Linked DNA regions of Tribolium castaneum. The protein of the gene in region 4 purifies or fractionates together with the protein of the main gene of each other region. This does not show direct contact. Links are inferred from orthologs where the notes say so. Each region holds a gene or a part of one and is shown on either strand. Other genes may lie near its edges. The genes, in order: RIOK1, RNA-binding protein cabeza, splicing factor 3B subunit 4, 116 kDa U5 small nuclear ribonucleoprotein component, rept, Neurochondrin and ecd.

The links.
Region 1: the proteins of 116 kDa U5 small nuclear ribonucleoprotein component (region 4) and RIOK1 purify together in Homo sapiens (affinity purification with mass spectrometry; 3 studies listed by BioGRID). This does not show direct contact. The link is inferred for Tribolium castaneum from reciprocal best matches to the Homo sapiens genes EFTUD2 and RIOK1.
Region 2: the proteins of 116 kDa U5 small nuclear ribonucleoprotein component (region 4) and RNA-binding protein cabeza purify together in Homo sapiens (affinity purification with mass spectrometry; 3 studies listed by BioGRID and IntAct, with this or other methods). This does not show direct contact. The link is inferred for Tribolium castaneum from reciprocal best matches to the Homo sapiens genes EFTUD2 and FUS.
Region 3: the proteins of 116 kDa U5 small nuclear ribonucleoprotein component (region 4) and splicing factor 3B subunit 4 purify together in Homo sapiens (affinity purification with mass spectrometry; 3 studies listed by BioGRID and IntAct, with this or other methods). This does not show direct contact. The link is inferred for Tribolium castaneum from reciprocal best matches to the Homo sapiens genes EFTUD2 and SF3B4.
Region 5: the proteins of 116 kDa U5 small nuclear ribonucleoprotein component (region 4) and rept purify together in Homo sapiens (affinity purification with mass spectrometry; 5 studies listed by BioGRID and IntAct, with this or other methods). This does not show direct contact. The link is inferred for Tribolium castaneum from reciprocal best matches to the Homo sapiens genes EFTUD2 and RUVBL2.
Region 6: the proteins of 116 kDa U5 small nuclear ribonucleoprotein component (region 4) and Neurochondrin purify together in Homo sapiens (affinity purification with mass spectrometry; 4 studies listed by BioGRID and IntAct, with this or other methods). This does not show direct contact. The link is inferred for Tribolium castaneum from reciprocal best matches to the Homo sapiens genes EFTUD2 and NCDN.
Region 7: the proteins of 116 kDa U5 small nuclear ribonucleoprotein component (region 4) and ecd purify together in Homo sapiens (affinity purification with mass spectrometry; 5 studies listed by BioGRID and IntAct, with this or other methods). This does not show direct contact. The link is inferred for Tribolium castaneum from reciprocal best matches to the Homo sapiens genes EFTUD2 and ECD.

What each region holds. Positions count from the first base shown.
Region 1 is NC_087402.1:315,187-318,680, reverse strand, and holds RIOK1 (serine/threonine-protein kinase RIO1), read left to right. Parts: upstream 1-1,342; coding exon 1,343-2,470; intron 2,471-2,599; coding exon 2,600-2,977; 3' UTR 2,978-2,983; downstream 2,984-3,494. Other genes in the region: Dbp45A (probable ATP-dependent RNA helicase DDX49), read right to left, coding at 1-152, 247-949, 993-1,059; nonsense-mediated mRNA decay factor SMG9, read right to left, coding at 2,984-3,177, 3,257-3,494. UniProt on the Homo sapiens protein: Involved in the final steps of cytoplasmic maturation of the 40S ribosomal subunit. Involved in processing of 18S-E pre-rRNA to the mature 18S rRNA. Required for the recycling of NOB1 and PNO1 from the late 40S precursor.
Region 2 is NC_087395.1:19,588,953-19,593,145, forward strand, and holds the start of RNA-binding protein cabeza, read right to left. Parts: upstream 2,801-4,193; 5' UTR 2,684-2,800; coding exon 2,674-2,683; intron 2,488-2,673; coding exon 2,314-2,487; intron 2,305-2,313; exon of another isoform or gene 2,226-2,304; intron 2,114-2,225; coding exon 2,009-2,113; intron 1,959-2,008; coding exon 1,901-1,958; intron 1,390-1,900; coding exon 1,361-1,389; intron 1-1,360. Other genes in the region: MED19 (mediator of RNA polymerase II transcription subunit 19), read right to left, coding at 3,204-3,479, 3,531-3,787, 3,840-4,020. UniProt on the Homo sapiens protein: DNA/RNA-binding protein that plays a role in various cellular processes such as transcription regulation, RNA splicing, RNA transport, DNA repair and damage response. Binds to ssRNA containing the consensus sequence 5'-AGGUAA-3'.
Region 3 is NC_087395.1:2,320,617-2,322,969, forward strand, and holds the end of splicing factor 3B subunit 4, read left to right. Parts: intron 1-1,023; coding exon 1,024-1,812; 3' UTR 1,813-1,853; downstream 1,854-2,353. UniProt on the Homo sapiens protein: Component of the 17S U2 SnRNP complex of the spliceosome, a large ribonucleoprotein complex that removes introns from transcribed pre-mRNAs.
Region 4 is NC_087401.1:10,807,705-10,811,204, forward strand, and holds part of 116 kDa U5 small nuclear ribonucleoprotein component, read left to right. Parts: intron 1-3,327; coding exon 3,328-3,500. UniProt on the Homo sapiens protein: Required for pre-mRNA splicing as component of the spliceosome, including pre-catalytic, catalytic and post-catalytic spliceosomal complexes. Component of the U5 snRNP and the U4/U6-U5 tri-snRNP complex, a building block of the spliceosome.
Region 5 is NC_087401.1:15,890,373-15,894,367, forward strand, and holds the start of rept (ruvB-like 2), read left to right. Parts: upstream 1-1,195; 5' UTR 1,196-1,267; coding exon 1,268-1,273; intron 1,274-1,450; exon of another isoform or gene 1,451-1,603; coding exon of another isoform or gene 1,604-1,609; intron 1,610-1,718; coding exon 1,719-2,104; intron 2,105-3,995. Other genes in the region: uncharacterized protein LOC663271, read right to left, coding at 54-355, 402-541, 592-829, 886-943. UniProt on the Homo sapiens protein: Possesses single-stranded DNA-stimulated ATPase and ATP-dependent DNA helicase (5' to 3') activity; hexamerization is thought to be critical for ATP hydrolysis and adjacent subunits in the ring-like structure contribute to the ATPase activity.
Region 6 is NC_087396.1:14,824,231-14,826,452, reverse strand, and holds the end of Neurochondrin (neurochondrin homolog), read left to right. Parts: coding exon 1-1,611; 3' UTR 1,612-1,722; downstream 1,723-2,222. Other genes in the region: N-acylneuraminate-9-phosphatase, read left to right, coding at 1,840-2,014. UniProt on the Homo sapiens protein: Probably involved in signal transduction in the nervous system, via increasing cell surface localization of GRM5/mGluR5 and positively regulating its signaling. Required for the spatial learning process.
Region 7 is NC_087394.1:35,465,463-35,469,706, forward strand, and holds the start of ecd (protein ecdysoneless), read right to left. Parts: upstream 2,801-4,244; 5' UTR 2,759-2,800; coding exon 2,515-2,758; intron 2,363-2,514; coding exon 2,157-2,362; intron 1,772-2,156; coding exon 311-1,771; 3' UTR 1-310. Other genes in the region: tether containing UBX domain for GLUT4, read right to left, coding at 2,945-3,297, 3,380-3,737, 3,788-4,244. UniProt on the Homo sapiens protein: Regulator of p53/TP53 stability and function. Inhibits MDM2-mediated degradation of p53/TP53 possibly by cooperating in part with TXNIP. May be involved transcriptional regulation. In vitro has intrinsic transactivation activity enhanced by EP300.

The DNA.
Region 1 (3,494 bases), on a different chromosome or scaffold from region 4:
TACTTGCAACATCAGTGGCTAGAAGAATTTTAATTGTGTTTGATTTAAATTTAGCCAAAGCTGCTAATCTCTGTTGTTGTTTCATCATGGCATGAAGGGCCACATTTTCAAAACCGACCTCATTTAAAGTCATTGACAACACTTGACAATTCCTACAATAAATCCTACTTAGTCTACGACTACGAAATCAAGTTGGCAAAAATAGTATTGCCAACTTAATTTCAAACTCTAGACCAATTATTTTACTTGCAAGTGTTAGTGAAAATAAGGATATTTCCGTCATTTGTAGCACGATACGTCCTAATTGTCTCAACCAAATAAGCGTCTTTCACATCTTTGGGGCACAATACATAGTTTTGTTCCAATTGTTCAACAGTTGCTACTTCAGCCGGGGCTTCATAGAAAAAAACATCTTTCCCTGTCACATCTTTCAGTTTTTCTAAAGTATCGGTGATCGTGGCTGAGAAAAATAAATTTTGGCGCTCCTTAGGCAATGCTTGAAAAATCGTTTTGATTTGTTCGTCAAAGTGCCCCCCTAACAAACGATCGGCCTCATCAAGCACCAAAAACCTCAATTTATTAAAATTAAACGTGTTGCAACTTTCTAAATGGTCAGCTAAGCGGCCAGGCGTTGCCACCACAATGTGGGGTTTTCGGGCTAAGTCTTTGCCCTGAACCACCATATCCATACCCCCCACAATGACACAATGGCGCAAATTCATCACTTTGCCAATGACTGCAAACTGATCAGCGATTTGAAACGCCAGTTCTCGTGTGGGGGTTAAAATAAGAGCGAAAATACCGTAAGGATCCTCGCATAATTTCTGGAGAATGGGCAAGGCAAATGCTAGGGTTTTGCCACTGCCGGTTTTAGCAGCCCCGATACAGTCCCTACCGGCGAGAATTGGGGGAATACAGTTGGTCTGGATGGGTGTAGGGCTGCGCACACCTGTACCCCAAAATTAATTTACGAAGCAAAAGGGGGCTCATACCTATAGTGGCGCACTGGCGAATGATCCAAGGGTTCAACTGGAGCTTGTCGAACGATTTCTCGGTCATTATTACGCGAAAAACACAAACTTAATATTCAGAGGGGTTAGGTTCCCCGACATTGCGACCGATTGTGTACACGACCGAATCGTTTTTTACGATTTTTGGGCAAAGTGTTAGGTTTTTACTAGAGTTTTGGATATTTTTTTGCAAATTTTTGACCAACTGCTGGGATAAATTGGGTCAAGTTGTGCAATAACACGGAAATTAGTTCGGGCTGAAGGCCACTCGAGTTCACACGTGTGACAATTCAATATAACCTCAGAGTTTTTGCACGTTTATTTGTGTAATTATGACCACACCGGACGATTTTTTGAGTGAAGACGAGCTTTTTCGGGACGCTGAAGACGATATTCTGGCCCCCGTAACCGAGAATTTGACCCTTGATGAAGATAGTTACGAAAGTGAAGATGACGATTTTTACTCAATTTCGGGCAAAAACCAGAGGAACCCCCAAGTGTCGTCAAAAAAAGTCAGTTCGTACCAACCCCCCGACAGTTTATTCAAAAAATACACCAACAAAATCAACGTTGAGGCGTATGACCGGGCTTTGCCCCCTCATGCCACAAATTTGCTCATAGCCAATGAAAAACGGCAAGAAAATGAGAAAATACGGCACAAGGACAAACACGACCGTGCCACCGCTGAACAAGTCATGGATCCACGAACCCGAATGATTTTATTTAAATTATTAAACCGGAACGTAATTTCCGAAATAAACGGTTGTATTTCAACGGGAAAAGAGGCAAATGTTTATCACGCAACGAGTGATAAGGGCCAGGTTGCGATTAAAATTTACAAGACCTCGATTCTCGTTTTCAAAGATCGCGATAAATACGTTAGTGGCGAGTTTAGATTCAGACACGGTTATTGTCGACATAATCCGCGAAAAATGGTACGAACGTGGGCCGAAAAAGAAATGAGGAATTTAATTCGCATGCATTCGAACGGTTTGAATGTCCCTGAACCCATTTTGCTGCGTTCGCATGTCTTACTAATGGGGTTTATTGGTCGAGAGGGTTGGCCTGCTCCGAAATTAAAAGACGTGGATTTAAGTCAGTCAAAAGCGCGTGAAATCTACAGAGACGTGGTTATAATCATGTGGAAAATGTACAATAAGTGTAAATTAGTACATGCCGACTTGTCCGAGTTCAACATGCTTTATTTGAATGGCGAAATTTTCGTTATCGATGTGTCACAATCTGTAGAACATGACCATCCTCACGCGTTGGAGTTTTTGCGGAAGGATTGTACAAATATCACAGATTTTTTCAAAAAGAAGGAAGTTGCGACTATGGGTATCAAGGATTTGTTTCATTTTATCACTGATCCGACGATAAATGAGGGGAATATGGAGGAGTGTCTTGAGGCGTTGGCTGAGAAAGCGGCTCAACACACCGAAGTCACGTCAGAGGAACAGGTAAAATTATTTTCTCAATTACAAGTACAAAAAATTCCATAAAACTTTGCCAGAGTGAGTTTAGAAAAAAAAAATGCTGTCGTATTTTTTTGTTAGTAGTAACGAAATTTTTTTGGTGTTCCATTACAGGTGGAGGAAGAGGTGTTTAAGCAGGCTTACATCCCTAAACGCCTGACTGAAGTGATTGATTTCGAGCGAGACATAACTCGAGTTAAATCGGGTTTAGCTGACGATTTAGTTTACAAAACTTTGGTCGGTTTAAAGGCCGATTTGAGTGGAACTGTGCAACATCCCGAGATTTTGGATGAAAAAGAATCATCTGAAGAAAATTCAGAAAGTGAAGAAGACACTGGTAGTAATTTTGTTGACTCTTCAAGACCCAAACATGAAACACTCGATGAGAAAAAAGCGCGGAAAAAAGCAGTCAAAGAGGCACAAGCTGCCAAAAGGACAACAAAAATCAAAAAACATGTCAAAAAACGGAAAGAGAAGGTTTCAAAGAAATAAATTATTTCATGGCATTAGTTTAGTGTATTCGATAAAAAACGAACTCTTTTTTACATTTTCCCATACTTTTGAACAGTACACAAGCCACGTTTTTTCAGTCAGTTGAACGTGAGTTAAGGGCGTTTTAATCGCGCCTAAAATATTGGCCCTTAATTTTTTTACAAGGTCTTCCAAAGGCGGGTGTCCATTGTAGATGTTATCTGCAATAAATCGAGTATTTAAGATGCGCTCACTCGATTTGGCAAACATTTTGCTCGTTAAACAAAAAAAAATAATTACCATATTTGGGATTGTATTCCGGGATGAGAAACACGTTGAAAAGTTCGCCGGAATTATCGTCAGCCAGCCCCAAATTTGAGTCCTTCTGAAGCTTGGTTTTTTCAAACAATAAATTGTAAATTTCTTGAATGGTTTTGAATTTCCTGGGCGAGAAATCGTCCATTTGTGCTTTGTTGTGTATCATTAGCAAGTGCGGGAAATGGTCATTTAGCTCATCCTCAGGGTTTGAATGTGTAGG
Region 2 (4,193 bases), on a different chromosome or scaffold from region 4:
ATATACCCAATAGAACCTTTTTATTTAATACCAATGAATATAAAAGGAAAAACTTTATTATCCTTTTACCTTTAATATATATATATTAAAATCATAGTACCTCATAAAACCATTCGTAACTTTTTGAAATCCCGATGTATAACAGGGTGATTAAAAAATGAAGGATTAACTCTTACAGGGTGATAAAAGACGTTCAGTTAAGCATAATAATCAATTTTTTTTGCAACCGTATTAATTCTTAGTATTTCTTTTTCCTTAGCAACCGTATTAATTCTTGCGCATTTCTTTCCCATATTGTTGAATTCATTCTTAAATTTGGTAAATTATAAATGTTTTATACGTATTATAGGTAGAGAATTTTTTCAATAATTATCTAATTTTATAAAATCTCTCGAGAGATTTAAGATTACTTCATCTTAACCCAAAGATATAACTTTGTAAAAAGCTATATCTAGTGAAGAAAAAAAGGATCACAATTTTTTTTGTCATAGGAACTTTTAGCTTAGTTGGATGTATTCATCACCATCTAAACGATATATAGTCGGAGACTTTTGAATCACCCTGTACACGAGAAAAATACTATTATGTATTCTTTTACCTTTACTCTATCAATAAAAAACAATGTACTCAATAAGACCTTTCTTTTTCAAACGCCAATGAAAATAGAAGGAGATACTAAATATAAATCTTAAAACCACCTATAAAACTAATCCAAAAACTAGATTTAATCAAATGGACCAAAGATTTTCTTTGAGAACATCTAAAGGTTACTGACAAAACATTAATTACTCAAATTTTTAAAATTTGCGAAAAAGAAAATAATAAAGTATCAATGTTAACAACCATATCTAATAAAAAAATAATAATAATAATAATAATAAGAAATATTAGAATCGCAACTGACGTTTAAAATTCTTTATAAAAACTTGACCAATCGAAACCCAAAGATTTTCTAATAAACATTTTCTGTAATGATTTTGTAAGTTACTCCAATGCTTTATATTTTTGTATAAATGTACAAAAAATTGCAAATACGAAAGAAGTTACCTAATCAGCAAAGAGGAAACAATGAAATGTTGCAACACTTTTCGAAGATAAACAACTTGTCAATTATAGCAACGCACCCTAACATTCGCAGGTGAATAGTGGAAGAGCTGTTTACGTATGATTATTTAGTATTCACATTATAATCGCGGGTCTAAGTTTTGAAACAAGTCCAATAATGGAACACCAAATAATCAAAATGTGTGGGAAATTATAAAACGTAAATAAAAATAATGCAGCTCTTCCAAAAACCAATAAAAATACCAATTAAAAAGTGTACAAAAATGCACTGGTCACAGTGACTCAGTGCTTTTACCTTTGTTATAACCACCCCTGTTGCCGCCTCTAAAACAGAAGTAAAACATCAGTAGTTGTCGAGAGAATGGAGGGGGGTGAAAAACACACACTTCACCAACCATTTTGTTGGCATACACATTGTCTTCATCCACGAAGATCACCTATTTCTAGTTGTTGTCACGTCTATGTACGATGTTTACCTTATTTTTAAACTCTCAAAGATTTTATTATACACCTCAATAACATAACAACCATTTAATTGTAGTAACAACCAACTCAACCTTTAAGGACCGTACCAAAAATAAATACCTCAGGAAAAACCACCTGTTATAATTTAACTCAAGTTTTAACGGCCATTTTCGGCCACCAACAACAAACACAGACGTGTGTATTACAACAAAATACTTACACTATTTAAACTCTGTAAGCAAACTGATATTAATACAGTTTCAACGATTCTTTGACAATAAATACCCATTCATTCATTTTTTATCATTTTACTACCTCCCATCCAAAGTGTAATACCAACAAAGTAAAAGAACAAAAACCGATAACTTACCCATAAGAATCACGTCGATCTAGAGGCCTTTTGTCAAAATCGCCACGGTCTCGGCCTCCTAAACCAAAAATAATTAATTACAAACAACACACAAAACTATGAATGTACCTCCATAGCCGCCACCACCGCCGCCGCCATAACCGCCACTATTGCCGTAGCCACCGCCTCCGCCAGAGTTGTAACCACCTCCTTGGTTATAACCGCCGCCGCCACCTGGAACAATTGACGGTAGTATAGCAAAAAAACAAAACAATTCTTTCAAAAGTAATGTATAGGCGAATGTCTACCCCTTCTCATATCAAGATAAGAAGGGACTATCAATTCCCTAATTATTCTGCGACATAGTAGGAGGTTTCAAGTTTATTAAACAAACTCAAACCATGCCTATGTCGCCCCACATCACTGTTTCTTACCTTGACCGCCGCCATAGCCGCCGCCAGACGAGCGTCCTTGATTCCAAGATCCGCCGCCGCCGCCGGCACCTCCACCTCCCCCGCCCGGGGGGTTGAAACCGCCGGTCGGCGGTGCCCCGTACGTATTGGGATACGCAGTACTGGGGGGCGGTTGGGAATAGTCGGCGTACGATCCTGCAAAAGTGGTTTGTACATAAATTACCCAAATAACGAAAAATCGATAATAATGAAATTAGAGCAAGCCGACGTGAAAAATGCGAACTACCACAACTTCGTAATGTGTTAAGTAGTCGAAATTTGAATACACGAGGTGATTTCGTACAGGGATGAGCGAGATTTTTTAAAAATCGGGATACTTACGATCGCCCATCTTCTACCGTTGGGATAATCGAACAAACAGGAGGAAAATGGATGCGAGGGAAAAGACGCTACGGATTGGGGGCTTGTGATTGGTCGGCGCTAACAGCCCTGCCAACCCCACCAAAAAAACACACTAAATAAAGCACGCCAAAATATTAAATTTTCCACAAACAACCTTGTTTTATATTCTCAGTTCCACTTGAATACCGTCGAGGTACTTAAAAACAACATTTGTGATGGATATAAATTGTAATAATAAGTTTGTATGAAACACAGCTGGAGAACTTGTTGTGGCAGCACTGAAAACCTTATCAGAGTTCAGGGTCGGCCTAAGGGCATTTGTAGGCCCTCAAATTTATTATTTTTTGATAATCATGAATTTAATTAATCTAGTGGTGCTAGCTTTGCTAAAACGACCAGTAAAAACTTAATAAAAATAACAGTCTGTTTATTTTCAAAAATAATAAACAATAAATAATAATAGATCTTAAACCTAGGGTAAGTTGGAATTATTCACAATCCAAAGATCTTCACGAATTTGAGTGTTGGCTGGGCGTTAGGCCCCCACTGTGTTCAGGACTGTGTTTCTGCTTTTTTCTCTTCTTTTCCTTTTTCCTCTTCTTCCGTTCTTTATCTTCGTCGTGTCGTTTCTGTTTTTTATGCTTCTTCTCGTGTGTATCACTTCCAGCATCGGTAATGGTAGTCTCCTGACTTGGAAGCCCCCCATCTTTGTGTTTGTGTTTTTTGTGTTTATTTTTATGCTTTTTCATAGGCGCCGCATTTGCGTAGCGGTATTGTTCAGGGAGCTAAAATCCAATACTCAACAAAACACATTAAAGGGAAATTATCAAGCTTACCGCCCCAGGGTGTAGTCTAAACCCATCCAGTTGGATGCTAGTCAATGGTAACAACTCCTTGCCCCCAATTGGAGGCTTCTCAATCACTGATCTTAGCGAACTGTTATCATGCTGTCCAGGAGAGTCAATAACGCCAGGCAAAGTTGGCAAAAACGAAGATAACTGTTCCTTGAGTTTTTTCCCACTGAATTTGCTGTAAGAGTGCTCAAGGCCATAATAGGCCATCAAATTCGTCGCTCCTGTTAGTTCCGACTCTCCTACAACCACCGTCCGCGTGATTTAAACGACTTCAAGCCTTGTCTTGCTTACCTGGAGGCTCTTTCATCAAATAGAAAGGTCCACTAGGGACAATTGAAGGGTTCTTTCCTAACAAAATTGTCGTTTTTAATGTTCCTGACGAATCCTGACGTGAAACGACAGGGGAACGAGCCCCTCTAGGCGAAGATTTGGGCGAATATTGTTCCACTTTACGAAACTGATCGCCCATCATCTTACAACTTCATCGTTTTGCAACAACGATGCAGCTGGAAATGGGAAATGTCACTTCAGCATCACGTACCAACACAAAATCGTCAAACAAACAAACAAATCAATTGTTACCCTGGTAATTTTCACGGTCTGGCGTTTGGAACCCTGCTAGTTTGGTAACTTTAGGTTTAGTTT
Region 3 (2,353 bases), on a different chromosome or scaffold from region 4:
AATGTCAGTTTGACAAATTCGTGACACTTGACGGTGTTGTCGAAGTGCACATGTAAATCAATGTTCAAGGATACCACCCTTAGATAGCCCTTAACTGTTTAAATTTGCATTGTTTTTGATAATTTTTTTATAGCTTTGTGTTGGTAATGAAAAAATGAAATTGATGACGCACACGCAAATCGAGCTGACCGCCACTATACCTAACTAGGCAGAAAAATATCGATAATTTCTTATTTCTTTTTCTTTCTTTTCTTTTTTCTCGTTAATTTTTGTAGTGCGCTTTCACTTTTGCACCAAGCAATGGGCCACTCTGAATTATTAATGTTATTATTGTTATTTAAATATTGAAAACAAAAGTTTTTGTCTACTATATTTTGTAAAAGTATTTGGAAACGATAGGAACAAAACAAAATAACTAAGTTAAGTGTGAAATGTATTATTTTCTTGTAAATTTACATTTTTAAAAAATTTAAAAATTTAAAAATAATTATTAATCGTTTTGTTAGGAAACGATTACTTACTGTGAAACATAAAAACATTAAAAAATAATGAAAAGTAAAGAAGTTAAATACAATAAGTTTGTAGCTCTAGATTTTTTAAAATATGACTTTAGGAATTTTTTCAACATTTTTCCCGTAATCTACACTTGCTTCTCAATAACGTACCACTGAGTTGGTGCGCCAGTTTTTGAGGACCCTGTATAACCGAATTTCAAGATCTCAAATTTTTTCGTTGTCCGCTTCGCATGAAAAGCCCCAATTGTTAAATCAGGTGTAAGTGCCTTGTATTGCTTTATGCGACAGATTTAGGGATTCTCATGTATTGAAAAAAATTACCTATACGAGCATTCTTCCTTCAAAATTTATTTATTTATTTTTATTTATAATTTTGCTAATCTCTGTATGTTATTTATCAGTTGAGTTATTTGTCTCACTCCATTTGGTAAAATTAAACGTTCAGCTTCTCCACATACCAATCTATTTTTTTTTTCAAACGTTTTTTTTATATTTTTTAATATTGTAGATAATGAGAGACCCCGACACTGGCAATTCCAAAGGCTTCGCTTTCATCAACTTTGCAAGTTTCGAAGCATCTGACGCCTCAATCGAAGCAATGAACGGCCAATACCTCTGCAACCGCCCCATTTCCGTCTCCTACGCCTTCAAGAAAGACTCCAAAGGCGAACGTCACGGCTCCGCAGCCGAGCGTCTCCTCGCAGCCCAAAACCCCCTCTCCCAAGCCGACCGCCCCCATCAACTATTCGCCGACGCCCCTCCCATGGGCATGATGCCCCCAGGAATGACTCTCGCTCCGCCCCCACCTCCCGTAATCCTCGCTGGAATGATGCCTCCACCACCCCCCACTCCGGCAAGTATGCAACCTCCTCCACCCCCACCAGTTCCTCCACCCAGTTCTTTCCCCTCGGGGATCCCCCCTCCGCCATTACCTCCCTCCCAACCGCCCTTGCCACCAGGTGCACCTCCACCGCCTCCAACCTCCGCCGCTGGAGCACGGCCCCCTCTGCCACCAATGCCTGCCTCAACGCAAGCTTCAGGCGCCCCCAGGATGATACCACCTCCGTGGCAAGGTGGAGGTGGGTTACCGCCACCACCACCTGGACCGCCAAACTCGGCAGCGCCCCCAACGTCAGGTGCACCGCCGTTCCCGGGATGTTTCCCGCCGCCACCGCCTCCAGGGGGGCGGCCCCCGAATTGGAGGCCGCCGGTTAATTTTGGTGGAGGGAGACCACCGTTCCCACCAAGGGGACCTCCACCACCACCTCCGAATAATTTTAGCGAAAATAATTGGTAAAAACAATAATACAATAAAGTCAAGGTGAATTTTTTTATTTCGTTTTGTGTCTTGTTTTTTGGATTTTCCTATTATTATCCTTTTTATTATTGTCACTATTTCCAGTAAATGGTATTGTGGTACCAGGGGCTTGATATCCTAATTCCTCAAAACTTAATGTTTCTAGTGAAAGTAGAATATGTATCATTGGCAATTTTCGTTTAACAACTATTTGGTCTAAATCAGGAATAACTGGATCCCAAAATTCTTCTACTCTGCAAAATTGTAAAATATGATGCAATTTCTGATCCAAGTCGTCTTAGGCTGAAATTAAGTTGGTGACACTCTTAGTGGCGTTTGCCATGCAATGTCACCAACTTATTTTAAGTCATGTCAGCGGAAATTTTTAATTGAAAACAAACTTACACCCTATAACACAGTTTCGTTATTTGGTGTAACTGATTATTGTGTTCCCGTTTCATAATTTCAGCACATGTTACAGTTTTACCAACAGATTGTCCAAATCCTGTCCACACAACGGCTTTAGCACTTGGAAATTCAT
Region 4 (3,500 bases):
GACTCTTGCATAAACAGAAATACAACTTCCTTATTTGTCAATGCTTTTGAAGATACGTTCGATGAATAAAGAGATGGGGTTTATAATTATAAAACCTAGAGTTTTCAAAGATATGAAATTACGATTTTCTTGTTTTTTAAAATTGTAATGTTCTCATTTTTTTGATATTAAACGGTTTTACAACGTGAGGTTTCTAAATTTTATTTATTTTATTTAGGGCTAATAGTTCATTAAACATTAGAGTTTTAATTTTATTTTTCATTTTTATCAATTTTATTTAAAAAAATAATTCGGTAAAATGCGTTGTTGACATTTCTGTCGTTTTGAAACAGCTGGTAGTACCAGTTAAACTGTTTGCAATTTATTTTTGTTTCACATAACGGACGGGACAAAAAAATCTTGTGTGTGAAAATATCTCTAAAAAAATATTCAGCCAGGTTTTTTAATTATTAAAGACTAACATTATCAAAATTAGACAGAAATTAAAAATTTTTGGTCTTGGTTAACGACGTAAGAAATAAGAACCACAATAACGGACGGGACAGCAAAAATTACGAAGATATAAAAATAATATTACTAATCAATTTACTTACCGATTTCAATTTTCTACCAGAAACTAGAAAAATACTCTTCAAAAGATGTTCAACACTTGTAGTACGTCAGTATTTTATGTTCCCGTCTACAAGACAATGTACAGGGTGTCCCACCGAAAAGTGCACCCCCTCGTAACTTTTTTATTTATTAATCAATTCAAACAAAATTTAAATTACATATATTTGGACCAAAGGTCCACATTTTAATGTAACCATTTTTTTTGTAAATTTTAGAATTCACTGAATTACTTCAATTTAAATGATTATCCTTTCCCATTTTAAATCCACAACAAAAAAAAAACTCTTGTCACAAAATACATTAAATATAAACCGAATTCTTAATCGAAACTTAACATTACTACGATAATTTTGAAAATTTCGGTGTCATTATTCCTGAAATGGTTGATAATACGAGTAATTAATTGCATTTCTGCATGAAAAATGCGTTAAAATGCTCGTAAAATCATTTTTGATTTTAATTTTTAATGAATTGTATAGGTGCGAATATAATGGAAAACTCGTAAAATTACAATACTGGGTGAGTCATAATTAAGTCTACAATTTTATGAGGCGAAACGAGATATAAAATACCCAAAAAATTAACACAGCTCCAAATTATTTTAAATCAATTTACATTTAACTAATTTATTAATCGTGGAATAAAAGCACAAATATTCTTAATAAACTGACGAAAATCGAACAACAAATATGAGAAAAATATATTTCTATTAAAAATTTCAATTTTGCGCTGTGTGATATTTTTCAAAATGCTGCGAATATCGTTAAAAATCCATGAAAAATTTCCTACAAAAAGTTCTCGGTATTTTTATCTTTAATTGTGTGCTGTGGTGCCTGTGATTTTGTGTTTTTAAAGCAATTTAAACCGATACGGTTGAACATAATTGTATACTTTGTCCCTTATATTTTATTGTGTCTTTTACCATTTATTTATTTATTCATTTATTTATTTTACCATGAGGTTAAAACATCATGCGATTTTCTAAAATTTTGATCTAGTTATCCATGACAGTTACTTTAACTCGATGTACATTACGGAAATAAGTTTCCAACATATTTTTTTTATGTTCTTCGGTGAATATTTTGGACATATTGACAGATAAAGCGATGCTGAAATTATTTACGCAATTCGGAAGTAAAATTACCGTTGGGGGCGCCACTGAACTAGGTCGAAAACAGTAACCATAAATGGAGGGAAAATGTTTATTCGGATATTTTGAGCGTTGTACGAATTTTGGGGCTTCACAATTATTACATTGCCTATGCGGAATGATTATTGCATCTTTGATGCAAGAAACTTATGTTGATAAATGAGAGATGACGAGGAAAACACGAATAACGAATGACTGTTTGGTTCACTTTCTTTATTGGAAAATTATTACAAAGACATTGAAAAGCCTACCTTTTGGCATAATTTACGTTTAAATGTATCAGCAGTTGTTAATCTTTATTGTAGTTTTGTAGATTTACCGCAGCATTTCATGATTTTTTCAGTGGAAAATTCTAACCTAAAATTCACACACTTCACTAATTTATTGGTTTCTTGAGCCAAACTTTGTGTTCGCTGTGATCCATTACTTATAATCTTTAATTAGACAACTGTTTGATAACACTTTGTAATCAAAATTTAAATATTTTTCACTTTTTATCCACTTTCAAGTTCCAACAATAAACACTTTATACCACGAAAAACTACAGAACCAAAGTCAACGCTAGTATTTACCACCACGTACTTTTAAAGTGATTCTTTCTATTGTAAGTAATTAACACTATACACGCAAAATTGTTGAACAATTCATTAAATGTCAGTTAAATGTGGCATTACGAAAATTTCTTTACTGTTTTCGACATAGTTCAAAAGTCATCACCAGAGGGCGTCTAGTTAATTTTATCTCCGAATACGTTTCACTGTTGGCGTAACTGTCATGGATAACTAGATTAAATTTAAAAAAACGCTTGTTTCTTTCTTTGTTTGATTTTCTGTATTTTTTCACAACTTTTACCTTTAACTATTGAGAATTGCTCTAATGGTCTGTAATTTTTTTAGCTGATGTCGATAATTTCTAAATTAACTGAAGTTTTCCGATTTTTTAACTTCAATTTACTTCTCGGGGCAGTTTACATATGGGCGTTTAGTTCAAAATATTTTGTCTATTGGGTAGATTTTTATTTTTCCAATTTTTAGATTTATTTAAGAAATGTGTGACTCGAAAACTATACGCTTTAGAGCCTTACATGAAAATACTGGGAATACATATTTAAGTTTCTGGAATGACGTTACATAAGAAACATAAATAAGTTCGTTTGTCCGGAATAAAATGGAACTTGTTAAAATTTAAAACAAAAAATTACTACGTCCTGTCTTTAACTAAATTACTATTTTTCTAATTAATTGATAAGCATCTGCTTGTCATAACACTCATAATATAACATAACCGTCGTAATGTTTACCATTCGCCCCCCCTCCAAAAATAACAACAAAAAACAATTAAGCCCTTATCAGATTCGTTAATAAACCCAGGAGCAATTTTTTTGCGCGTCTCAACCGCAATAAATGAGGTAACCAACGAGTTGTAAAATCTCGTTTAGCCCCAAGGCCGTTCATCTAGAGATAAGTTCCATGACCTCGACTAATGAATTAATGATAACGAGTTGTTTACTACGTCTTGACTTTCAAAAATTCTAAAAATACCGCATTATTTAATCAAAATTCCAGATACAAAATCGAGCTAAACCGCGTCCCTGCCGGCAATTGGGTCCTAATCGAGGGCATCGACCAATCAATCGTTAAAACAGCCACAATCACAGACCTCACAATCTACGAGGACTTGTACATTTTCCGCCCCCTTAAATTCAACACCCAAAGCATCATTAAAATCGCCGTGGAGC
Region 5 (3,995 bases), about 5.1 Mb from region 4:
CAAAAAATAAGTTGACTGTCATATCACTAGTTTAAATAAAATATTTCTATTGACTATGGTAAAAATAATTCTTCTTCGGGAACCCTCGCAAACACTTCGTTAATATTCTGCGACCACACTGTTGCCATCACTTGCTCAATGGCGGCGCCAAAGTCGGCATAAACAGTTAGGGAATTTTCGTTGATTGTTTTCATGATTTGTTGGCTCAGCTGTTCGTTACCGTTGATTATGTTATCATAGGAAAAAATCACTTTTTTCGGGTTGAATTTAAACACGTGCTCGGTCATTCTCAAGTGAGTCTTGCCTTTTTTGGTGTACCTTTCACATTTGAAGTGATTGGCGCCTTCAACATCCCCTAAAAAAAGAATTAGGCACGAGGCGAAGCCGAGTGCTTCACTCACAGAACGTGTTATTACACTTCCCTTCACCGTTTAGTGTGAAAATGAGCAACTTTCCGTTGATTTTGTAATCGGCTTCCATACGCACGACGGGAGTCAAGCTATCGTAGCTCCAATAACAACTCCCTTGCGTAAAATTAACCCTAAAATTTTTTTTCAATTTTTTTTTTTTTTTTGTTAATTTTATTGTTACTTCGAATTTTTGATCGTAGCCGAGGTGATGCCGTGAATTTTCACATTTTTGTAAACTTGCTGGAGCGTGTCCTTGGACGCTTGGCCCAAGGTCACCTCCGGTATAAGCAGTGGCTCCAACTGACTAATCCCCAAATCCCTGTTCCCCATGGCCAACTTACGCACATCTTCCATAACATATTTATCCAAACACTGGTTTAAATTAGGATCCGATTTGCGACATTTGATAATTTCGGGCGCTTAATTAATTAATTAATTAATTAAAATCAATGGTTAATTCAATTAAACGACTTACGCAAAGTTTTGGCAAAAGTTGAGCCAAAAACAAGCACCACAAGTAAAATCGCACTCATTATTCTACGGAATCAAGTCGAAAACTATTATTAAAAATGAGTTAGTGAAAAGTATTTGTAGTGTCGAAAAGTTGAAAACCTTGTAATTCGTACATAATTTTCCTAATTGCAACAATAGGCAATTAGGGAGCGGAAATTTTGTGCTAATGTGGCACAAATGAGGCAAAAACGCCCGTAATTATTGGTTTAACATTGTTTTAAACTGTTTGAATGGAAATTGGCGCCGGTTTTCGGCACGTTGGCAGCACTTTGTTTGAAGGGCCCAGTGTTTGATCAATTATTTCAATTAATTAATTCAAAGTTTGGGTTAATTGTGGCAGTGCTATGGCTGTAAGTATTAACAAAACAATCATTTATTAATGAAAAAAGCCCACAAAAAACAATTTTTAATACAGAAGTTACACAGTTGGTATTACAAAAATTTCAAGTTTGGGACGTTTTTGTCACATAAAACTTTTTTCCCGACGAATTATTTAATTTAATTATGTGTTTCGAGTAAAATTAATATAATAATTATGCTTAATTAATTAAATTACGAAGTGGGTACACTTTTTCTGGTGATTTTCGCAGTTACGTTGGTACCGCGTCCCTCCATTGTTTTTGCATTTCCTTTAAAATTGTGCATAAAAACGCAAAAAAGCCGCAAAAACCACAACCCCAATGGCTGTAAGTACCCCATTCTCCCTTATCTCGTTAAAAACACCCTTTTGCTGATAACATTATCGCATTTGTGTCGTTTTTGCGGCGTTTGCTGACCCTAACCCCACTTTCGCAGAGCGCCGCCGCTGCAAAAATCGCCGAAGTGCGTGAAACCACGCGCGTGGAGCGCATTGGGGCCCACTCCCACATCCGGGGGCTGGGTCTGGATGAGAGTCTCGAGGCCCGGCATGTCTCGCAAGGGATGGTGGGGCAGGTGTCTGCCAGGAGGGCTATCGGGATTGTCTTGAAGATGGTGAGGGAGGGGCGGATTGCTGGTCGGGCCGTGCTTTTGGCGGGGCAACCGGGGACGGGGAAAACGGCCATTGCGACGGCTCTGGCCGCCGCCCTGGGGCAGGACACCCCCTTTACGAGCATGGCAGGCTCGGAGATTTACTCGCTGGAGATGAGCAAGACGGAGGCGCTGACGCAGGCGATTAGGAAGAGTATCGGGGTGCGGATCAAGTAAGTGCTGGAATACCGGGTGACTGTGATGAATTGTATGGGGGAATTATTTGGCAATACTGCGCTTGTTTTATGAATTAAGAGTTCAGATTTATCACAAAACTGACGACAAGATCCGTTTTATTTATTTATTTATTTATTTAACGAAAAATTTTTTTCTACAAAATATATAAATTACAAAACCACAAAAAATAAAATTATTTAACAATAAATGATTAATATCAAGAATCATTTAGCCTTAACAGCGAATGTATAAAGTGCTAATGGCTTTTCAGTAGTCACCCGGTATAAAAATGTCAAAAAAAATTGAAATACTATAGTCGGTGTATTGTTGGTTGCCTATATACTAACTTCTGAAACTTTGAATTTATAGTTTTTATTGATTTAGAAATCTGTTAAAAAATATTTTTTTTTCTAATTTAGTCGTTTGTTAAGCTTAAAAAATTTTTCCCCGTGTTTTTTTTTCGGGAACAAAGATTTACAAGAAAAAAAACAAAACAGTGTGTCTCGGAATTTATTTTGCAAAATTTAGTGATGAATTCTCTAATTTTTCAATATTCAATATTCAATATTGAGGGTTATTTTAATAAAAAAATATTTTCGAAATGGAAAGAATCTACTTTTTCTATTTCGTTGATTTTCTACAACGGATTTTTTTTACTTTTGTGTGCTTCTTATTCTGTTTTTTTTTGCTTTCTTTTCATTTTTTTTGCTTTCTCTTGATTTTTTTTATTTTTTTAATTTGTTACAAGAGGTTTTTTTTCTTTTTTGTGTTATTTCTTTTTTCGTTTATTTTATTATTGATGTTTTTCACTCTCCCGTAATTCTTTGGACTTGAACCATATTTTTTAAGTAATTTTATTTTTTTGGTTTTGCGACGATTTTAATTTTTTGTTATACTAATTTTGTTTTTTTATAATATATGTTGGTAATTTAATTTTATAGTTCATTTTCAAATATAAATATGAAAACGTTTAATAAACTAGCAGGTTTGACAATAAATTACACCCGACAAGATTAGAAAAGATGGTTATTTACTTTGAAAAAAAATATATAAAATTAAAGAAAAAACTAAATTTATTTTTATGTTTAACAGTTTAACTGAAAGTTTTTTATTAGTGGTCCGTCACTTTTGGGATCGCTATATTATGTTTTGTTTTACCAGTTTTTTTTTAATTTTTTAATTTTATTTTGTCTTTTTTAATTTATTCATGGAGAAAAAAAAATTAAAAGCTTGAAAAAAATGGGCATTTGCTTTTTTAACTTATTTTTTTGGTTCACATTTATGTTTTATTTTCCACTTTTATTTAACACATTTTCTCTTTATTTTCTATACATTTTTTTGTTATTTGTTAATTAGGTTTTTGTGTCTACATATTATTTTTTCGTATTTTGGTTTTCGTTATTTCGTATCGATTTATGTATTAAATTCTTGGATTTTTTTATATTTTATTTCTTGTTTCTTGTAGGCGTTTCCTAATTTCACTTATTTTTGATTTATTTTATCAAATTTATTTTCCAAATTATTTTCGTTTTTCAATGTTTATTTTATTTTTTTAGTCTGTCTTTGTTGATTTATTCGTGGAAATTGGGAATAATTAAAAAATCGAAAAAATTACCGTTTATTCATAATGTTAAAGTAACGTTATGAACTTTAAGAGTTAAAGCGACTTCAACTTTATGAATAAACAATAAAAGTGTAAAAAAAATTCAATTTTTCAGTTATTTTCAATCTCCACAAACAGAGGGAATAAGAAAATTTTATAATTTTTTTATTTTGTTCTTTCTTTTGTAATAATTTGACCTCACTTTTGAATTTTGTTAACTTAATTTTTTGGTTCACATTTATCTTTTATTTCGCCTTTTCTCTTTCCTAAGAGTTTGCAACGAT
Region 6 (2,222 bases), on a different chromosome or scaffold from region 4:
CTTAATAAAATCGCAGTCGATTTCGAAACAGACCACGATAAACGAAAATTCGAGTTATGCCAAGTGCTTAACGCCTTGATTTTTAATTGTCCGAAGAAGATTGTGAACAGTGCAGATAAGGAAACCTGGCCTATGAGTCTCTATAAGGGCCTCACTGATATACTGCAGAGTAAAATTGGACCACAGCAACGCAATCCGGCTTTAATTTTGGCATCGAGTGTTTTGGATGCTTTGGGAGTCGAGTGGGCTATGTCCGATGAGGAGAAACCTAAACAGTTTTTCTTACTCTTGATACAGTTGGCAGCAATTGAGGTCCGAATGCAACTTGATGGCAAAAGTCTCAAAGCTGCAACCGCCCAAAGGAATCTTGTAACGGCTTGTTACATTATTCTAGAATTGTCAATTAATTATATTTCGACGGATCAGTTGGACTTGGATCAGAAGGAGAAGCAGACACTTTATACCGGTTTGAAGGGAGCATTCACTGCTATTATAAACCTACTGTTAAAAGTGGCCGCTGATAAGAATAAACCTTCTGGCGATGAAAAATGGTTTGTTTATGCTACCATCAGAGTTCTGGCAGCTTGGTTGGCTCAAGAAACCTCCGCGTTACGCATCCAGGTCTACCAACTCCTACCGTTCATTCTCGAAATCGCCAATGAAAGTTTCAATGCGCATAAGGCGAAAAGAGTTGCCGAGAAAGCAGGGATTGAAAGTGAAACAAACCCTGCCAATTCTGTGGATATTTTGCGAATTCTTCTGCCAGGTCTTTGCCATTTGGCCGTGGAGGATGCAGCACGTGCCATTATCTTGAAACACCATGAAGATAAAGTTCTCTTCGACTTGGTGCAGTTTCACTGGAGCATCGTTCATTATAAACGTCCACCGGTTCCACGATCCGAACGTCTGAAAGTTCTAAATCAACCAAAACAGGAACTATCGCCCGAACTTTTGGCCGAAATGCAAGACTCCAGGACTGCCATGATCAGCGCCTGTAACGTATTGATGAATCTGACTGTGCTGGAAACGAAATACGTCGAAGAGAGTGATGTTTTCAACGATTTGCTTAAATTTATTTTTGAGAATTTGCCGGAGTTGAAGGATATTCCCGAGAATCTCGTTCTTCACGGGAATTTGGCCGTGTTGGGGCTTTTGTTGCTGAAGCAGCTCTCGAATAAAGTGAAGAAGAATGATTTTTCGATCTGTCGTTACATCCAGGCGACTATTAGGTTTTTATGGGATGCGTACATCATTGATGAGTCAAATGACCCAACCGCTTTGGTTGTGTCAATGGCGTACAAAGAACACTGGATGGAGCTTATGGAACTCTGGTTTTTGGGAATGCAAACCATGTCAGGCGTCATCGCCCAAATCCCCTGGATTTCTGAATTTGCGATTGAAAGCGGTTGGGCCGAAGGCATCGTCCAGACATTGAAGAAAGTCAAAATCGGGACTCTCCCACCAAACGTTAAATCAGCTTATGAAGATTTCCTCTGCCACTTAGTCGACGCCAACGAGAGTGTTACCGATGTTTTGAAGAAAGCTGAAGCTTTGAGGGTTTGCCGGAATCACAGACTGATGGAATTAGGAAAGAAGTTGTTCGGGGATTAAACCTGTGCGTTTGTGCTTTTAATGCATTTTTTGTTTTATTTTTGGCGCTGATGATTTTTATACGAAGTAATCGATTTTGTATTATATTTAAATAAATGTATTTGTCGACGAGACGTGGTTTTATTTCGGGATGTGTAGGTGGATTTTGGCAACGATAGATGTATCTAAAATAATTTACGCATAGTCATGGCAGGTATTAATAAGGGGTATCTGTGTCGTTTTTTGTAGCTAGCGCAAATTCTGTGGGAGAAATGGGACGTTCCAACTGATTTTGCAACGAATGCCTCGAAAGCCTTTTTGAAGGCTTTCAGGAAATGCCCCGAGAATTTATCGATGAGTTTGGATGCGTGGAGGAGGCTGCTTTGGGCTCAGGCGCTGGGGGATCAGTACAACAAGTATGCAGGTAAGCAGCAGTTGGCGAAAATTTGTTACAATAAAGCGGAATAAATAAATATTTGGTAGTTCAGTTGTTGCAGAATCTTTTATCTTGGCACATACAGTTTGCTGTTGAGCAATTTTTTTAATGTTTTTGATTGTATTCCGCGTACGGTAATCACCAGTACTATTATTAAATTTAAAAGATCTTGTGTAATATCTTCTTTTTTATATGC
Region 7 (4,244 bases), on a different chromosome or scaffold from region 4:
AAGTATTAAATATATTCTTTTAATTTTCATAACAAGCAGCTAAATCTAAAATACATATGCGGCTGTACAGAACGAAAAAAAGAAATGTGTCATAGTTGCAAAAACAACGTAACGTTAACACAAAATATTTTTCATATTTCTGAGGTAATATTAAGCATGTAATCAAATCGTTCGTGTTCTGTACAGCTTAACGTGTGAATCTCGTACACTGTATACATCAATAGTGAAAAGACAATGGCAGTAAACCTCCTTATTGGCACGCGCTACAAAAATTAACAGTAAATCAATAAATCGCGCTTAAATAATCATCTCAATCATCGTTATTACTGACATCCAAGTGCACCCCCATCGGCCCTAACATATTACTCGACGGTCCCGCCTCCCCCAACTGCGACTTATAACTCTCCAGAATATTCTTCAACGCATTCACGTCAATATCAACAGGTTTAAAACTCTCAATATCCTCAAACCCGTCCCCGTTCTTCTTCTCGAAACTTTCCCCGATTGTGGTCGCCGCCAGTTCCTTATCCATCTGTTCCATATACTCCTGCATTTTATTTTTAACCCCTTCGTACATCTCCTCATTCCCGGCAACATCGTCGGCGTAATCGCTCATATCAGACCCAGAATCCAAATCCCAACTGTCATCTTCCGGAATGACAAAATTCAGGATGTTCTGAACGGCGCAAGAAAACGCATTCGGATCAAAACTAACTCTATTATTAGCTGTTGTCTCGGTTTTTGTGCCACTTGCGAACGAAACTTTGGTGCGTTTTTTCACGCCTCTAGGGGGCCGAGTTGGGGAATTGTCCAGGTCTGGGTGCTCAACTCCGTCAATATCTGACACGTGGTTTAAGAACGAGGAGATTTTTTCAGTGAAAGAGGCGGCGTCTGAGTTGTTGTTCACTGTAACGAATTTCTTTTGCCCGTATTTTTCTTCTAACATTTTATCCAACTCTTCCGGGCTGACGTTAAGCCACGAATCGTCATCGTCAGGCAAATTACTTTCCTCCTTCAATTCATCGATCTTAAAATCCAAATTTTTGATCAACTGGACAATTTCTTGCCCAATGGCTGGAGAATAGTGCATAGAGTCTCGGTGATTGATGTAGTACTCTTTCGCTTTGTTTAATAAATCGTTGTATTCTCTTGAATGCTCCAACAACCCCCGAAAATAATTTTTCTCTTTCAGTTTCTCAAAATAATTAACCCACCCTTTATCCTGTTCAATGTCCTGGCTTGGTTTGGCTTGCGCGGCTAAAATCTCAAACCCACAGGCGATTTTAACGCCTAAATTCTGCGCTTTAAACTGTGGGCTGTCGCTTTTAGGCAAGTTCCAGCCGGTTCTGCGATCCGGAACGTATTTACTGTGAGTTAGCATTGCGTATAAACATTTAGTAAATGTCACTCTGGCATTTACGCGGTTTTCGGGCGGAAAATATTTCATGGCTTTGCAGGTTTTGGCGTCAACTGGGTCTCGATTACAAAAGACTTGGACGGCGGGGGCTATAAGCCCGGGTTTGTGGCGCAAAATTGCAGCGACACCTACTGGTAGGTAGGCAGTGGCATGGTGAAGACTGGACTGGATTTTGTCAGGGTAGTCTTTTAATTTGTTGATTATACAGTTTTGGATGTCTGATGAGGCTAAAGTGTCGATCGGATTGTTTTGGATTGTTGAGACGGCCTCATTGACCGCCATTTGGGCCATTTCTGGGAGGTGATCCGAGGTGTCTAGAGGGATGATATGAATGTTGCCTTGGTAAATGTATACCTGGAGAAAAACCAGATCCAAGTCAGTTTTGCTTCAGTTATTACAGAAATGTATAAATAATTATAAATGCTTAACTAATAAATTATTACTTAAGTGAATTTTAATGTAGAAGTACTATCTTATAGAGCTGCAATTTTGTTGCAATTTTTTCACATGTTGGTACAGCTTCGTTCATTGACTTGTGTTGCATTCGTTAAATTATTTTTTTGATGGTAACATTTTAAGCCTTCTTTTTCACATCTGAATGCTAGATTATAAACACTATTTTAAAACACTCTTACCATAGCAACGTTTTTTAATTAAAATTTCCAACAAAAAAATCAATTATCACTTTATTCTAATTTGAATTAGAAAAAAGACAAGCACAGATAATGAGAAACCTTACCCTATTTTCGCAGTTGTTAGGGTCTGCCCATAAAGGTAAGTAATCAGCTGCTTCAATTAAAATAAATTCGCCATCAGCGTCGTGCACACGAGCTATTAAACCATCAATTTCCTTAGTTAGGAGACGTAAAAGGAACACAATAAACCACTCGTCCTCTATATTGTCTCCAAAATGAGTTACGCCATATAAATGTGGTGGTAAATACTCTGCAAAACAATTGATCTCGAATTAGGTGATTCAAAAAATTGTTACATTGTGATTTATACAGATTTACTTTAAACAAAGCATTTGCTGGTTTATAACCTCAAAAAATGTAAAAGCACTTTTTTAATGTGAAGTCATAAAATACGACCATTACCTGTTTTTTCACTATCATGAATCAGTGAATTACTAATCCACGTTCTCACAGTTAATTTAAATTCGTCTTTATGCCATAAATACTCATCGGTGTACCTTTTTACGATTTTTTCACACTGATTTAAAACTCTGGTTAACGCAAGTTCTTGTTCTTTGTCGTCCTGGGAATCAATAGGTGGAAAAAGATGATATTCAACAAAATCATCTTCACGAACGGACTCAAGAACGTTAACTTTACTTGCCATTGTTGTTTTAAAAGTAATCAATTAAAAAATTTGAATGACATTTGACACACCATTGGTGCCAATAAAACAAAACTCCCCAAACTATTCAAAAACACCCGCTCCTCTCACCAAAATAAAACAAAATTAGATGCTGAAGTGCTTTTATTTAATATAAGTACCAACTCATATAAACTTAACACTAATAAATCACTTTGATGGTCTAAACCACTTAGGGACTTTTTCCGTTGATTTTATTACTTTCCTCTCGTAACTGGTTGGTTGTGTACTTGGCCCAGCAGCATTTGCTTCAGTCAGTGTATCCATAGACTCATCCTGGCCCATTTCTTCACTCGGAGATTCGGGTCTTGTTCCCTTTTGCCGCAACTGTGACGCCGCTAAACTTGCTTTTGAGTTTGTTGTAAATTTATCCCTCAATTCCGCCTTCAAGCACACAGAACTCCCATCACCATTTGCTCCTAAATGCAACAAAGCCCCCGGCACGCAACCAATTTCCACTAGTTTTGATTCGTCCGAGAGAACATTTTTAGGCGGCGTTGTATCTGTAACAATATTTAAACATGTGATCAAAGTAGTTTCTGACTAGAGTCAAAGGTCACTTGACTGAAGTAGAACAATACTTACAAAGATGAAAATCACTGTTTGGATCTTCTAGGAAAGAAGTGACGAAATCTTTAATATCTTTAACAGTTTCGCTGGGCTTGAAGCTCCCTTGAAGGATGGACCTGTCTGGGAACTGGACGCGTATTACTGACTGTTTATATTTACGCAGTTGGCGTAATTGCTTCTTTGATTCTTCTAAATTGCGCATTGCAGAGGTCATGAGATTAGCGTTGTCCATTTCGTTTCGCTTTCTTCTAATATCGCCCAGAATTTTCTTAGCATCATCAATTGTGAGCTCAAAAAAATCGTCTGGTAGGTCTTCAGCTGGTAAAGAACGCGCCGATTCGAGAGAAAATAACATTGCCTTGCGCTCGCCCAACTGAAAATTTCAAATACAAAATAAAATAATAAAAATAAAATGCTACATACAAAAACAAAATCGTCCTCAAGCTGACTAGATGATGGGTTGGTAACTGGCTCTTTTGGGTAATTTGCGATGTTTTCTGGCAAATCAACATCCATTTTTTCGTCGTCAGACTCAACTTTGGGTTTAGTTTTAGGCGAATGCGTTTCCGTTTCCGGAGTTTTGGAAGGGCTGCTCAATTTTCGTTTTTCCCGTGCTAGTTTCAATAAATCAACCTCAGTTTTCTTTTGTAAAGGCTTCACATCGGTAGTTTTAGAATATTCAGCTTCAGTCTTTAAAGTGCGATGAAAGGGCTTCTCCTCTACCGGTTTCGTAGGCAGAGGAGCAGAGACATTTGCTTGGACTTTTAGTTCGTCAGGCCTTCGATACATTAACCGCATCATCGCCCTACCACCTCTTAGGCCCAAGCTTCGCAAAGTGGCTTTTTGCAAATTGTCGCCGTAAATTTCATTTCGCATATAA